Pelodiscus sinensis: one gene and its partner. The protein of the gene in region 2 purifies or fractionates together with the protein of the main gene of each other region. This does not show direct contact. Links are inferred from orthologs where the notes say so. Each region holds a gene or a part of one and is shown on either strand. Other genes may lie near its edges.

Evidence for each region. The genes of interacting proteins can lie anywhere in the genome.
Region 1: the proteins of LARP7 (region 2) and HNRNPA1 purify together in Homo sapiens (affinity purification with mass spectrometry; 4 studies listed by BioGRID). This does not show direct contact. The link is inferred for Pelodiscus sinensis from reciprocal best matches to the Homo sapiens genes LARP7 and HNRNPA1.

The regions. Positions count from the first base shown.
Region 1 is NC_134729.1:1,218,254-1,225,245, reverse strand, and holds the start of HNRNPA1 (heterogeneous nuclear ribonucleoprotein A1), read right to left. Parts: upstream 3,028-6,992; 5' UTR 2,980-3,027; coding exon 2,896-2,979; intron 2,284-2,895; coding exon 2,167-2,283; intron 1,695-2,166; coding exon 1,548-1,694; intron 777-1,547; coding exon 566-776; intron 450-565; coding exon 357-449; intron 260-356; coding exon 161-259; intron 1-160. UniProt on the Homo sapiens protein: Involved in the packaging of pre-mRNA into hnRNP particles, transport of poly(A) mRNA from the nucleus to the cytoplasm and modulation of splice site selection.
Region 2 is NC_134715.1:31,430,749-31,438,381, reverse strand, and holds the start of LARP7 (la-related protein 7), read right to left. Parts: upstream 3,083-7,633; 5' UTR 2,947-3,082; exon of another isoform or gene 2,819-2,946; intron 1-2,818. Other genes in the region: 5'-3' DNA helicase ZGRF1, read left to right, coding at 7,066-7,086, 7,200-7,280, 7,407-7,463. UniProt on the Homo sapiens protein: RNA-binding protein that specifically binds distinct small nuclear RNA (snRNAs) and regulates their processing and function.

The sequences.
Region 1 (6,992 bases), on a different chromosome or scaffold from region 2:
GAGAATTACACTTAGTCCAGTGCCCAAATCAAGTTAAAAAAATATCCATAGCCAAAACTGCAGCAGCCATTTGGGTTAACCTAGGGGCCGAAACTGGAGTTTTGTTAGCCTGACCATATCCGTAGAACTTGAATCAAAAGGACCCCATAAAGTCCCTTACCACGACCACTGAAGTTGCTGCCACGGTTGAAGTTGTCATTGCCACCAAATCCACCTCCACGGCCGCCACCACCACTGAAGTTCCCAGAGCCACTGCGGCCTAAAGAAGAGAGCAGCGCCTGTTAGCAGCACGGCTCATATTGCCAAAGGTCGGTTTGGATGAGTTCCAAAGCAATGGATGGGAAACTGGCACTCACCTCGTTGACTGGATGATGCACTGGCCATTTCTTGCTTTGACAGGGCTTTCCTCACTTCGCAGTTGTGGCCGTTCACAGTGTGATACTTCTGAACTGGAAGGGAAGAATTAGACGTTAACTGTCACCGTGTCCTGATTTGAAACCCAGGACGGGTCCCCTTCCAATGCTATACAATCTTTACAGTTCACAGAGCTGTGCAGAGAACTTACTAACAATCTTGTCCACAGAGTCGTGGTCATCAAAGGTGACAAATGCAAAGCCCCTCTTCTTGCCGCTCCCACGGTCTGTCATGATCTCAATCACTTCGATTTTGCCGTACTGTTCAAAGTAGTCTCGCAGGTGGTGTTCCTCTGTGTCTTCCTTAATTCCCCCCACGAAGATTTTCTTCACTGTCAGGTGAGCACCAGGCCTCTGAGAATCCTAGACAGGACAGAGGGCAAGCTCAAGCATTATCTGAGATGTACAATTTTAGAGCTCCATAAACAGTGGTTCGAAATGCAACAGTCCCATTGCTCAAAGACAGAGACAATGCAAAATCGTGATACGTGTCCACCACAAATTAAACTGGTCCCCATTTACAATTACTTGTACAGGATGCATCTCTATAAACCAGAATGGTTTAACCCTAACCCTTCCGGGCCACAGATGTTCCAAGATGTCCCAGTCCTGGCACACTGTGGGGGGTCCAGGAGCCTGGCCGAGGGAAGGGGGGGGGGGGAAGAGAGAGAGAGAGAGAAGAGGCAGGGCAAAAGCTGGTGTGGGAGCCAGCTGAGCTGTGAAAAAAGCGAGGGGGTGGGGGTGGGGGAGACAGCAGGGGGCCAGAAATGACCTGTGAAAAATCCCTCATCTGGGATCAGTCGGGTCCCAATGGTACCGGACAAGGGAGGTCCAACCTGTAGTAACTACTAATGTGGTCCTGCTTTAAGTACATATTCTGGTAGACAGCACAGCAAGGAAACGCAGCATTGGCAGTTACAGACAGCACGATTAATGTAAGCAGGGTACTGCTTTCCCCAAACCACAAAGAGAATGGAAACGACCCACCTCAGTTTAACCCCTGGGTTATAGCCAAACTATGGTCACTTTAACCTCAACTCCTCCCTACAGAGCCCCACTGGATCAGTTCATCCTAACAGTGAGCCAATTTCAGGCTATGAAAACAGCATGGTTAGACTAAACATTCATTCATACCTCTCTGGATACAGCCCTCTTTGGTTCAACAACTCTGCCATCAACTTTGTGTGGTCTAGCATTCATGGCGGCATCAACCTCTTCAACCGTAGAGTACGTAACAAACCCAAAGCCCCTGGAGCGCTTGGTATTTGGATCTCTCATTACCTAGAAAGGACACACCTCCATTAGTAACCACAGTAAATAACACGAATCAAACAGGTGGCATAAAGACGAGAACAAAGGAACATCTAAAGTTATTTAGCACTAGCTTTGCCCTACAACTTTCCCTCTGCCCAAAGCTGGGACCTCATGGATCATTTGGTAATTTCCCTGTTCTGCTCATTCCCTCTAAAACTGCATTTGATACCAGCCACCCTTGGAAGACAGAGGCTACTGGACAGCATGGCCATTCCTCTGCAGGATTCCGTCTAACCCTAAATTTGCCGTTAGACCCCTTACTCCCCTGGAACAGTAGTTTACAGATGTCAGTAAAAACAAATTATTCAGCTCTTCCCGTGGCATCAAAAAAAAAAAAAAAAAAAAAAAAAAGGCAGCCGGGCCATGCAATCAGAGTCCTTCCCCCACATCTGAATGTTATTATCTAACACCCAGAGGATGCTCTGGGCCAGGCACTCACCACGCAGTCTGTCAGCGTGCCCCATTGCTCGAAGTGGCCCCGCAGGCTCTCGTCTGTGGTCTCAAAGCTCAGGCCGCCGATGAAGAGCTTGCGCAGCTGCTCAGGTTCCTTGGGGGACTGGGGAAGAGGCACAAAAACGAGTCAGGAAGGAGCAGCCAACAGGGCCCGTCCCCTGCTCCCCCCTCCCCAGGAGATGCCCAGAGCAAGAGATTGCACAATGACTTACAGGCTACCCTCCCCCCCCCAGAGGGCCCCCCCGTGCACACCAACCCCCCCACCCCCTCCCCCCGCAGAGGGCCCCCCCCTGCACACCAACCCCCCCACCCCCCTCCCCCCGCAGAGGGCCCCCCCCTGCACACCAACCCCCCCTCCCCCTCCCCCCGCAGAGGGCCCCCCCCGTGCACACCAACCCCTCCCCCCGCAGAGGGCCCCCCCCGTGCACACCAACCCCTCCCCCCGCAGAGGGCCCCCCCCGTGCACACCAACCCCCCCTCCCCCTCCCCCCGCAGAGGGCCCCCCCCGTGCACACCAACCCCCCCCTCCCCCTCCCCCCGCAGAGGGCCCCCCCCGTGCACACCAACCCCCCCTCCCCCTCCCCCCGCAGAGGGCCCCCCCCGTGCACACCAACCCCCCCTCCCCCTCCCCCCGCAGAGGGCCCCCCCCGTGCACACCAACCCCCCCTCCCCCCTAGAGGGCTTGCAGCCCTGGCGCGCGGGAGCCGCCACGCACGCGCACGCGAGGCCCGCCACGCGCTCGCCCGGCCGCCATGGCGCTCCTCCGGCTCTGCACAAAGGCGGGCGCGCACGCGCACATGGGAGCGCGGGAGGCTCACTCCCCCCCCCCATATCCCCACCACACAGGCGCCGAAGGGCCGCCCACCTGGGAAGGGGGGTAAAGCGCAGGCGCGAAGGCTGAGGCGGCGCAGGCGCAGAAGGGGGGGGAGCCTCCGCGGGCTGGACGGAAGCCCGAGCAGGCCTGAAAGGCGTAAGGCGCGGCCGAACGCGGCGAGGTCCGCGCCCCAGCAGGGCCCAGGGGAGGCCGCGCCGGCGGCGGGGAGCGGAGAAAATGGCGGCCGGAGCCGGGCTCACCTCGGACTTGGACATGGCGGGGGCGGGCGGGCGCGGGCCTCCGCCTCAGAAGTGCTGCGCGTGCGATGCTTCCTCCGCGAGGCGCCGATACAGAAAGGGCTGAATGACGAGAGCGTCGACGCCTCACTCCACCGCCCCCTCTTAGAGCCCCGCCCGCCGCGCGCTCCCATTGGAGGCGGCGGTCGGGGCACACCCCCTCCCCGCCTCCGATTGGATAGCCACGAGAGGCCGACACATCTCATTGGCGGAGGAGATCCGTGACCCACCCACTGCTACAGCCTACTGGCTAAGCCTGCGTAAGCCCCGCCTATTGACGCATCACGTGGCCGTGCGTGCCTTCCCTCCCTTCCTCCCTCCCCCAACCTTTTCCCGCGTTACTGGCGAGAGGCTGTAGCTCGCCTCTGATTGGTTCGCTCATGGACAGTCCCGCTCTAATCTGCGCAGTGATTGGCTGCTGCCGCTAGACGTGGGACTTGACTGGATGGCGGCAGTGTCAATCACTCGGGTGGGGGCGGAGGCGGCTCCCATTGAGGCGGGGGGCGAGCGGCTTTTTCTCCCTAGCACCAGCCCGCGCGCTTTGCCTCTGTGGAACGTGCGGAGCCGGGCTCCTGCCTGGCAGCCTGCGGGAAAAAGGGACTAAAGCCCACAGGTGCTCGTCTGCGCATGCGCTAGCGGAACCCGGAGCAAGCGCCCGAAGAGGCGGGGGGAGGGAGAGGACGGGCCGCGCATGCGCCGTGCGGGGAGCCAGGCGCCTGCGCGCTAGGGGGGCTATTTTGGCGGGCGGCGAGCGTTGCGCAGAAGCGGCCTCGGCTCTGAGGGCCTGCGAGAGGGGGGAGTCCGCGCCGGACCCGCTTCGTCCCCAGGTACCCGGGCGGCGGCGGGGCGGCTGAGCCGGGACATCGGGCTGCTGGGCTCGGGGCGGAGGGGGAGACGGGCTCATTGTGCGGAATGAAAGGGGTTAGGGGGCGGGCCCGCGGCCACTGACGGACAGCTCGGCCGGCCAATGGAGGGGCGGGGGCGGGGCAGAGGCGCGTGACGGGCAGTGGGGGGTGCTGGTGCCCGTCGCGCGGGAGTTGGGAGTGGCAGCCGGCTGCGCCAATGGGGCGCCGCCTGGGGGGAAAGGGCGGGGCCTTCCCGGTTGATTGATGGCGCGGCGGGCCAAAGGGCGCGCGGTGTCGGGTTGTTTCCTCCCGATGGGCGGGACAATCGGCGCCCCGCTCTGGGCTGGGGGGGGGAGGCGGCTGGGACACGGGGCGCGCCCCCGAGTCTGGGCTGGGGGAGCCGAGCCCCGCCCCCTCGCGTCCCCCTCGGCCTCTGCCCCCCCCGCTCCCCATCCCCCGCCCTGCCCCCCCCGCGGGCGGTGCCCCCCCATCGCCCCGCCCCCCGCTGCCTCCCCCCCGTGCCTCTGCCTTGCCCCCCCCACCCTGCCCTTTCCTCGGCCTGTGCCCCCCCCGCCCCCGTGCTACAACCCCCCCGTGTTGTGCCCCCCATCCCCTCTCTGCGCCTCCCCCCCGGCCTCCCGCAGTCCCGCTGTAAATCCTTCGTTCTGCTCCCGCCCCGCATTCCTGCGCTCCCTTGTCCTGGAAACTTCTCAGCTCTGTCTCTGCCACATCTCCTGTGCTGCCCTCTCCCCCCGCCCCTCCTCCTCCCTTTCCCACCCAGATCCTTGTCAGCCCCTCACTGCTCCTGCAGCCCCCCTCGCTGACTCCCCACGAGCTTCTCATGCTGCTCCTACCCCTTGTACTAGCTGCCCTGCCCTGTCCTGTCCTTCAGCCCCTCTGTTCCCTGCAATAGTCCCTGTGCTCCCCCTCAACCCTTCCCCTGCTGTTTTTCCCTGAGATCCCCTCCATTTCTCTGTCAACAGCCCTTCATCTGGGGTTCTCCCTATCCCCACTTGCCTGCTGTTTTAGTGAGAACCGAACCTGGGACCTCTGGATTAGTGTGTCAGCAGCTTGAGCTAAAAGCCAGCTGGTTCTCTGCAACATCTTGTTCCCTACTGCTCAGTCCCTCCTGGATATCTATAAATCCCACTAACCACAATTCCTGCTAATCCCAGTCTCCTGCAAACCTCCCCTCATGCACTCCCTCCAATGCCCTGCATCCTCTGTGTCCATCTCTTGGATCCCCTGCAAATCTCTTCCTCAGAAAAATCCTCTGCAACTCACCCCACCAGCTGCCCACCACAGATCTTATATCCTCCCCCCAATCTTCTGCCACGCACCCTCTTATGCTTGTCACTACCCCCCTGGGATCTCCTTCAACTTCCTCCCCAAGATTCCCTGCAATTCCCCTATCTCCCCCCACCCATGTCCTGCAAACAATCCCCCAGCTCTACTGCCCTGTCCCCTGAAAACATCCCCCCCCCTTTAGCCCTCCTCATCTTCCCACACAAAGATCTATAGCTCTCAGGCAGCCCTTTCTCCCCTCAAACAACCCTCATTCCTTTCTCTACCTTCACCATCCTCTGTAACTGCCCATCCATGGCTGCCTGATTGGGGGGCCACAAACTGTACTCTGCTCTGCAACCCATTTTGCCCCGCCCGGCCCCTACTCCACCCCTTCCCCAAGCCCTGTCCCTGCCTTGCCTCCAATGCAACCCTTTCCCAAAGCCCCTGCCTCCAGGTGATGCTATCTGTGAGATTACAGGGGGTTTGGCATAGGGCAGCAGCAAGGGTCAAGTCCCCCCCCCCCCCCCCCCACTGTGTACCCAGCAGCATTTTCTCTTCTGCCCTGCTACCCATCTCCTAGCTGAGTCACTCCATTTCCTGCTGTTGCAGCGAAGTGGAACCAGAGTCACTCCACTTCCTGCTGCTGCAGTGAAGTGGAGCGAGCTAACTGGGAGATGGCGGCAGAGTGGAGCAGGCTGCCTGTGAGTGGGATAGGGATGCCAACCTTTGCTACTGCCCAGAGCCAGCCCTCCTCCTCTCCCCCTCCCCCAAGTTATCCTTCAGACCCATCCTGGACCTTGTGGGCTAATGTCATTATGAGGGACCATCCCGTCTGTAGGACGGGTGGGGCAGCTACAGCAGGCTCTGGGGTTTGTCTGCACATGGGAAAATTAATCTGGAATAAGACAGGATGTGAAGTTATAGTGGCTCATAACTATCTGTAACCCACTGTTTCTTCTTTGTCCTGTGACTGTAGTAGAGTTAGTTGCTCACTTCTCTCTGCGGGTGTGTCTATACAGCACTCTTCACTCAGAATTAGCTACACAAATTGCGCTACGCAAATTGCATAGCTTATTTTGAGTGTATTTCAAAATAACTCACTATTCCAAAATGCCCCATAACCCTCATGGAACAAGGGTTACCAGGACGTCGGAATAAGCGGCCTGTGATTTCAAAATTGATTTCGAAATAACGGGCTGCTTCAATAGACATGGAATAGCTATTTTGGGATACTTCCGGTATCCCGAAATAGCTCTGCAGTGTGGATGTATCCTGAGTGGCCGCTTGCAATACATGTTTACTCCTTACCTGTTCTACACTTGTATTTAGCTGTAACACTCCGAATGCCTTTCCCAGAACTGAAGAAGAGCTCTGCATATACTTGAACAGTTGTCTTTCATCAGCTGAAGTTAATCCAATAAAAGATACTGCCTCACCCATCTTGCTTGTTTGGTATCCTGGGACCAATATGACTACAAGATCACTGCAGTTTACTATGGGTTCACTACTCCTGATTTTAACTCCCTGTCTGGATGCACTTATTCCAGAATAAACCTGCCTTGTTCTGGAT
Region 2 (7,633 bases):
AAGATAACCAAGGAAAGAAAGAGGATGAGAAATGAAGATGAGCTCTAATACCTGGCCAAGATACTTTTCCTCAACATGCCTGCTCAGCTGCACTGGTTGATGCCAGCTCAGCAGCACATATTAAGCTGTATTGGCGGATGAACACACGGGGAAGCAGGGAAGAGCCACAGCTCTGGTAAGAAGAAAAGTGATCCCACAAAGCAAGCAAGGGCAGTTAATAGGCAGACCATGGGCCAAATCCAGACCATCAGGTGCTTTTGAATGGACCCAGACATTTTTTCATTTACATACTATTGCATAAACATTTATCATTTCTGGCACTCCACATGTAAAATTCACAAACTAAAAAATTTATTTTGGAAGAAGAAACTCATTCCCTTTGAGTCATTCACTACTTAGGTTTACAGTGACTCGATGTTGACACCAAATAAACAATTGACGTTCATAAAAATATTTTCATTAGGTGAATCAGACTTGGATTTGTACTTTAAAAACAAAGAATTGTACAAAAACGTCACTTAGGTTTCAACCACAATAATGTCATAGAAAATGCCCAAAAGATCATAAAAGTTTGCACTCCTAATATTGTCTTATAAATGGGGCACTCACCAAAATACACACATTTTTTCCATTTTCTTGCTCAAAGTAGCTATAGCGATATCCTGTTCTAGCGTCATCAGAACTACTTGTTTTTTACATAACTACATTAAAACCAGCATCAATGCATCTACTGCGTGGAGCATTTTCTAATTCTAGCTCAATTCCAACTAGCATGAACATCAGCTGCCCCAGTAATTTAAATACAAGACTGAAATGGAGCAGTGTGTTATGTACAAAGAAGCAAAGCACAGAAATGAACAATAATGAAAACTTATGAATTAGGGATGTAAGCAAGCAGTCGAGTAGCTGATTACCTGGTAAACCTCAGCTTATCGGATAGTCGAGTTGACTACCCAAATCCCCTCCCCCCCTTTGGGAGAGCTGGAGCCGAAACTGGGGGGAGCCAGATCTCCTCGCCTGCCCCCACTTCCTGCACTGCTGCCTCTAACAGAAGCAGCAATGTGGGAGGAGGGGGATGCTTGAAGCAGCCTCTGCCCACGGCAGGCCAGGCTTGCCACGGGCAAAGGCTGCTCCGCATCCTGTGGATCAGCCCCTGTTCACAGCAGCCTGGGCTGGCCATTAACAAAGGCTGCTCTGGCAGCAGCCGGGACTGAGCAAGCTTGGCTCAGTCCTGGCTTTTGTCAGGTCCAGGAGCTCCCTGTTTTCCCCGTGCGACTGTGCAGTTTAAATGTCTTGCTATATTGAAACTGTAGAGCTTCAGGGGGGCATAACTCCCAGACCCGGCATGAACCAGGAATGAGTACCTTCCCTTCTTGACTAATCATGTAGTCGATAACATTTTTGGTTTTGCATTACAGTAGGGTTAACTTAATTGGGGACTCTGGAGTAGAATTTGGATTGCAGTCATTTAAAGTATGTGCTATATTGCATTGGAAATTTGGGCTCAGACTCAGGTTCAAGCCCACCTCTCCTCTCATCCACTCACATGTCTACCTAACATTAAACAACAAGCACTTGGGACCCAGCTCTTGGGGACCATCCAAGGGAGGGAGGAGGGAAAGAGTCTGATTCTCTCTGTGTCTAAACCCTATCATTTCGTAGCATGGCAGCAGCCGTAGCCAGACCCAATTCAGAACATCTACGTAGTGCACGCTGGACTAGTTAACCCAGCTCCAGTAACTAAAAGCCCAGCTTTACAATACAGCGTGGATGCTTCACCAAGTGCACAAGCCTGAGTCCCAAAGTCAGAGTTTCTACTGCGGTGCAGACATGGCTGGAGAAGCCAGTACCAACCCTAGCAGGACAGAAGGCAGCTTCTTCGCTACACCTGTGCGCTGATCCCAAAACTGCCCCTCCTGCCAGTGGCCTCATTCCAAATTGTTGGGAAAGGGCTCAGACGGAGGGGGATAGCAACAGTACTTTGGAGTCACTCCCTCAAGCCCTGACGGACAAAAGTGACGAATGTAAGAACATAAGAGCGGCCATACTGGCTCAGGCCAAAGGTCCATCTAGCCATGCCAGGTGCCCACAGAGGGAATGAACAGAACTGGTAATAATGAAGTGATCCCACCCCTATTGCCCACTCCCAGCTTCTGACAGAGGCTAGGCACATCATTCCTACTCATCCTGGCTAATAGCCATTGATGGCCCAATCCCCCATGAATGTCTCTAGTTCTTTTTTTGAACCCTGTTAAAATCCTGGCCTTAACAGCATCCTCTGGCAAGGAGTTCCACAGATTGGCTGTGTGCTGCATGAAGAACTACTTCCTTCTGTTTGTTTTAAAACTGCTATTAGTTTCGTTTGGGGGTGGCTAGTTCATAGGCTATGGGAACAATTACATGCCTTTATCCCGAATTCACTTTCTCCACCCGCCATGATTTTATAGAGCTCTGTCCTATCAAGCACCCAGTCTTCTTCATCTCTCTCTTCCCGTGGCCTCAGCGCTCTCGCGGCCCCTTTTCTGAACCTGTCCCAGGGACAAAAGAACTTTGGGGACGCCCCTCCCCCCCTGCAGGCGGCGCTGTTCACGGCGGGTGCCGGACTGCGCGGCTCTAGGCAAAAGCGCTCTTCAGTCTGTCCGCAGAGCCCCCCGCGGCCCCCACGCGCCGCCAATGCCCCGCCCCGCCCACGAGCCTGACGCATGCGCGAAGCCCCCGCGCAGCGCCCCCTGCCGGCGGGGCGGAGAGGGTTAACAGTGTTCCTAGTTCACCGCGCTTCCCCCCTTCCCGCGCCCGGTGCGTAGAGCCGGGCTCTCACCTGCCGCCGCCGCCGCCGCCAACTCCTACAGGGCCCCCCGCCTCTCCTGAGCTGCAGCAGCGTCACCGCCAGCGCGCGACGCTCAGCCGCAGCAAGAAAAGCCCCCGCCTGCCCTGCCGCCGGCTTACCAGATCGGCGCCCCCCCCGCGCGCGACGCACTTCCGAGCGCGGGCCGGCGGCGCGAGGGGCTATTCTCTGCCGTGGCGCCGGAAAATAGCGTCATCGGTAGCTGGCGGCGCGGGAAAGCTTCAAACCAGGGCGAGGAGCCGAGAGCTCGAGAGGTGCCGCGCGGGGGGGGGAGGGGAGAGGAGGTGACGCTGGTCCGCTCCCCGCGCTCTGCCCCCCCCCCCATCGGCGTCTGCAGAGCGAGAGGCTCGGCCATCCGCGCCAGGCGGCTTGGGAAAGAGCCGGGGGGGGGGGGGCGGAAGGAGGTTTAGCCCCCCCGGCAGGACTAGGAGAGCAGCGGCCCTGCGGGCTCCCTGCCTGCACCCACAGGAGCGGGCTGTCAGCGACGCGCAACGTCGGGCATCGCACAGCAGAGCCACAGGCCGTCCCGTGTCCCCCCCCCCCCCCCCCCGCAGCATTTTTACTCTCCCCTCCCGGTACCAGCCTCCTCCGGCCTCGCTGGTGTTTGAAATGCAGAGGTTACAAAGTATTGCGCAACCAGGCTCTCCCTAGCATGGGCTCCCAAACGGGGGGGCGAGGCGACCCAGCCCCTCCCCCCCGACAATCCCACTCCAAGTTTTGCTGCTATTTTTTGGGCGGGGGGGGGGGGGGCAGGAGTTTCTCAGAAATCAAAAAGGGGGGCGTGATGCCAAAAAGTTTGGGAACCACTGCCCTAGCAGGAACTGCCTCTGCCCCATGTCTGTACAGTGCCCAAAACGATGAGGCTCCAGCGCGCGGGGGGGGGGGGGGGGGGGCGAGCAGAAGCCCAACTCTTTTCCGTTGCAGGTTTTGGTGCTTTCTGTCACCATGCTCCCGATGTAGGATGTGTTGTAGCCAGGTCTGCTCCACTTAAAAAAAACCTCGTGTAGATAAAAGAAAATTTAAAAATTATAGAACCTTGCTTTTAGGCAGAAAAATAAGTCCTGGCGCTGGCTTCACTCCAGCTGACTTTGAAATGTTAACAACTTCAGCTACACTAGTAATCAACTTTCATGTGTAAAAACCATTGGTTTTTAACATTGGGATTTTTAAAAGCACTCACTCAGCATTGGGTGAATTCTGCTATTATTGAAGTCAGTGGTCAAATTCCCATAGACTTCCCTAAGACCAGTATTTGGACATGGAGTGTTTCTGACAATTCTCTACTAAATGGTTTGAGAGAGTAACTGTTAATCACCTTTGCCATGAGGGGAGTGATATGAGAGCAAAATTATAATGTTTTACACTCTACACAGAATATATGAGTACAGTTTATATTGGTACCAGTCCTTTCATAAGAATATAAGAATCACCATACTGGGTCAGACCAAAAGGTCCACCTAGCGCAGTATCCTGTCTGCCATCAGTGGCTAATACCAGAGGGAGGGAACACAAAAGATAATCCTCACATGATCCCTCTCCTGTCCCCCATTTCCAGACAAACAGAGGCTAAGGACACCATTCCTACCAATCCTGGCTAATAGTCATTGATGGACCTAACCTCCTAGCTCTTTTTTGAACCATGTTAAAGTCCTAGTCTTCCCATCCTCTGGCAAGGAGTTCCACAGGTTGACAGTGTGCTGAATGAAGAAAGGACCATAAAAACTCTGATACTAGATCTGAATGAAAAAACGTGATTGTGTTCCTTTCAATGTCTCTTTCTTTGCTTCTGTTACATTTTGAGGTAGTTTCTGTGAAAGACGTTATACAGTAGGGTCTTATTTTTAAGTATTACCACACTGGGGCTATGTCTACACTGGCGGCTTCTTGTGCAAGAACATCTTGCGCAAGGGTTCTTGTGCAAGAAGTCTTGCGCAAGAAAATGTCCACACTGCCATGTGCAAGCTGTGCTTTTGCGCAACAGTGCCCATAGCAGTGTGGGTGCTCTCTTGTGCAAGAAAGCTCTGATGGCCATTTTAGCCATAGGGCTTTCTTGTATAAGAAATCCCTGCTGAGCGTCCACAATACCCTCTTGTATAAGAGCTCCTGCGCAAGAAGGCTTACACCTGTTAAAAAAGAGCATAGCTCTTGTGCAAGAAGCCCTCTCTTACCACACCGTACTGTAAATTTCCTTGTGCAAGAGCGGGCAGGCAGTATGGCTGCTCTGCGGATTCTTGCGCAAGAATGGCCATACTTGCGCAAGAAGCTGCGAGTGTAGACATTGCCTTACTGATTTATTTTAGGTCATTAAGGCTTTCAGCAGCTGCCATTATATTCTTTCAGGAATTAATAAACCAATGTATCTGTAGTGGTGGCTCTATTATTCAGTCTACTTCAAAATGGTCTAGCTGTTTACTCTTCTTAGCATATGCACAATGTGCCTCAGGTGACAGAGGACCAGGATTCATCTTCATTCATTAAGTTTGGTCATGTGGTTGGATCATTAGTAAAGCTCTGCCAGTCTCCTTATATCCACAGCCCCTGTTTGTGAATAGAAGATTGGATGCAGATACTATTTTGTATCTGTGCAGGCCTCTAATCATTAACTTTCCCAGATTGCATCAGGTACTGAGGGGGAGTGCAACACAAAGGCTGATCCATGCCACCCACCCATGGACTGCTTGACAGATTCTATCATTTCCATTCTTATTGTTCCATTTTATTACTAGGAAAGAGAAAGACTATCTGAAAATTCCTATTCTGCTCTAAAGTAACCATCTTTCTGTAAACAATGCTAAATCAAGCCATTATCAGATCAAGTAAGGGGAAGTGAAGACAGCTCTTCTGGTATTGTTACAAGAATGGTCAATCTGTGAATTGCACAGTTGGAAACATGATCTTTCCATACATCTTTCTAAACAGTACCATGACTGAGAAGAATAAACGTAAAGTAAATGTTCTGAGCCACCTTGTGGCGAGTGTGTAGCATTTAAGAAGTTGAAAGACAAGACACTTTAAAACTGGAATTTTTAATGAAAAAGCTATTATAGCTTGAGAGCCACTGTCATGAGAAAAAGTGTGAATATATTTCCTCTTTTAATAAATGTATTTACAATGGAATAAAAAACCACATATGTAGAATGCTAATTGAATCTGTTTATCTGCTAGTAACGCAATCAGTGTATTATTTCTCAAATATAATTTCCTAGTTCATCCCCAAAAAGGTATCCTATGAGTTTTTTTCATCCTATCTCTACTTATTCTAAATGTTAAAAATGTACTAAGAATTCTTAAATCCCATGAACTATTGCTTAATTAATCTCTAGTCTAATATCTTCCTATAATAGCTGCTTTGTCTTCTCATATGCCTTTTCTTATGTGTGATTGCTTTTAACAATTTCTTTATCACTTGTGTTGCTGTCTATGCAGTCAGCCAGTAATTTCAAGAAGTTAGAGCAATTGCCAGTGTTAGCTGTGTTCCTGTGGTTGTGGTTTTAATTGAAGTGTCAGTAATTGATAATTATGATTAAGATCCCAATGTTAAGTGCAACTCTTTACATGCAAGTACAAGTTATGATATTTGACAGTTAATTTTCTACTGTATTTGTGTGTCATAAGGTTTGAAAATGATGAAGTGTTTATATAAAGCTTTGATTACTGTTGACTACTTTAGGCCAAGTTTTTTATGGGTGATTATTGATTTGAGGGTTTCAAAATTAGATACCCCAAAATGAAGCCTCATTAGAGACATGAAAGTTTGGTTAATTTTTTAGTAGTAGATTATATGTTCTGATAAGATTATTAGGCTAATAGTTTTCAAAGAGCCAGCTAAAATAAAAATACCTACTTATCTGAAAAATGATTTTGAGCCACAACTTCCATTAAAATGAATAGTAGTTGCAGATGTTCAGGTTTCTAAAAAAGTAGATCTCTTCTTGATATTAATATTTAAACAAAAGCTATTTCTGCTATTAATCTTTACTTTTGTTAGTTTATGTTTAGAATACAAGTCTTTAGCACTCCAATATTCCCTCACAAGCATCACTACCCTGTTTTTACCCACTCTTTAAGGGAAAGCACTGGATGTGTATCTTTTTTGTTTGACACACTTGCCTTGCAGCTGAGTTGAATTCTAAATATGCCCCCCCCCCTTTTTTTTGAGTAGTATGAAGATCTGAATATATGCATTGCAAACCTTTGGATTGCTGTGTTTCATCAAAGCAATGGCTTGTCAGGAGTTTACTGTGAGTCTTATTTTTAAGTACAATTATATATAAGATATAGTCAAATTTCACATATGCTTGGCTTGTATGACTACTAAATCATTTCAGTATATACATGTTTTTTATAATATAAGGTCTTATACACTCATCAGAAGACTAAAAAATCGAAAGTATGGCAAGATGGAGTTTTGAAAACCACTACTGGAGGAAATAAGGTGAAGAATTCAGGTTTAATTCAGTATCATGTGCATAATAGTACCACTTTTTCAGCTTCTACTTGTGTCACTGGTTCCTTCTTAACACACATTTGTTAAATTTAAAATTCTCCTATTTCAATACAGGCAACCTTATTTGATGACAGAGGACAATGTTTGGAGAGTGTATTTGTTAAATCTCAGGTATTTTATAATCATGTAAAGCTTTTATCCTTATTTGGCTAATAATTTGACGCAGCATATTTTATCTTCATGTGATCCAAAGTTCCCTATGCTTCAGTTTTGTCTAGCTTTGTCATTGCTAATATTCTGATCCTTAAATGTTTAGGTTGGAAAATAATCTGTGACAGATT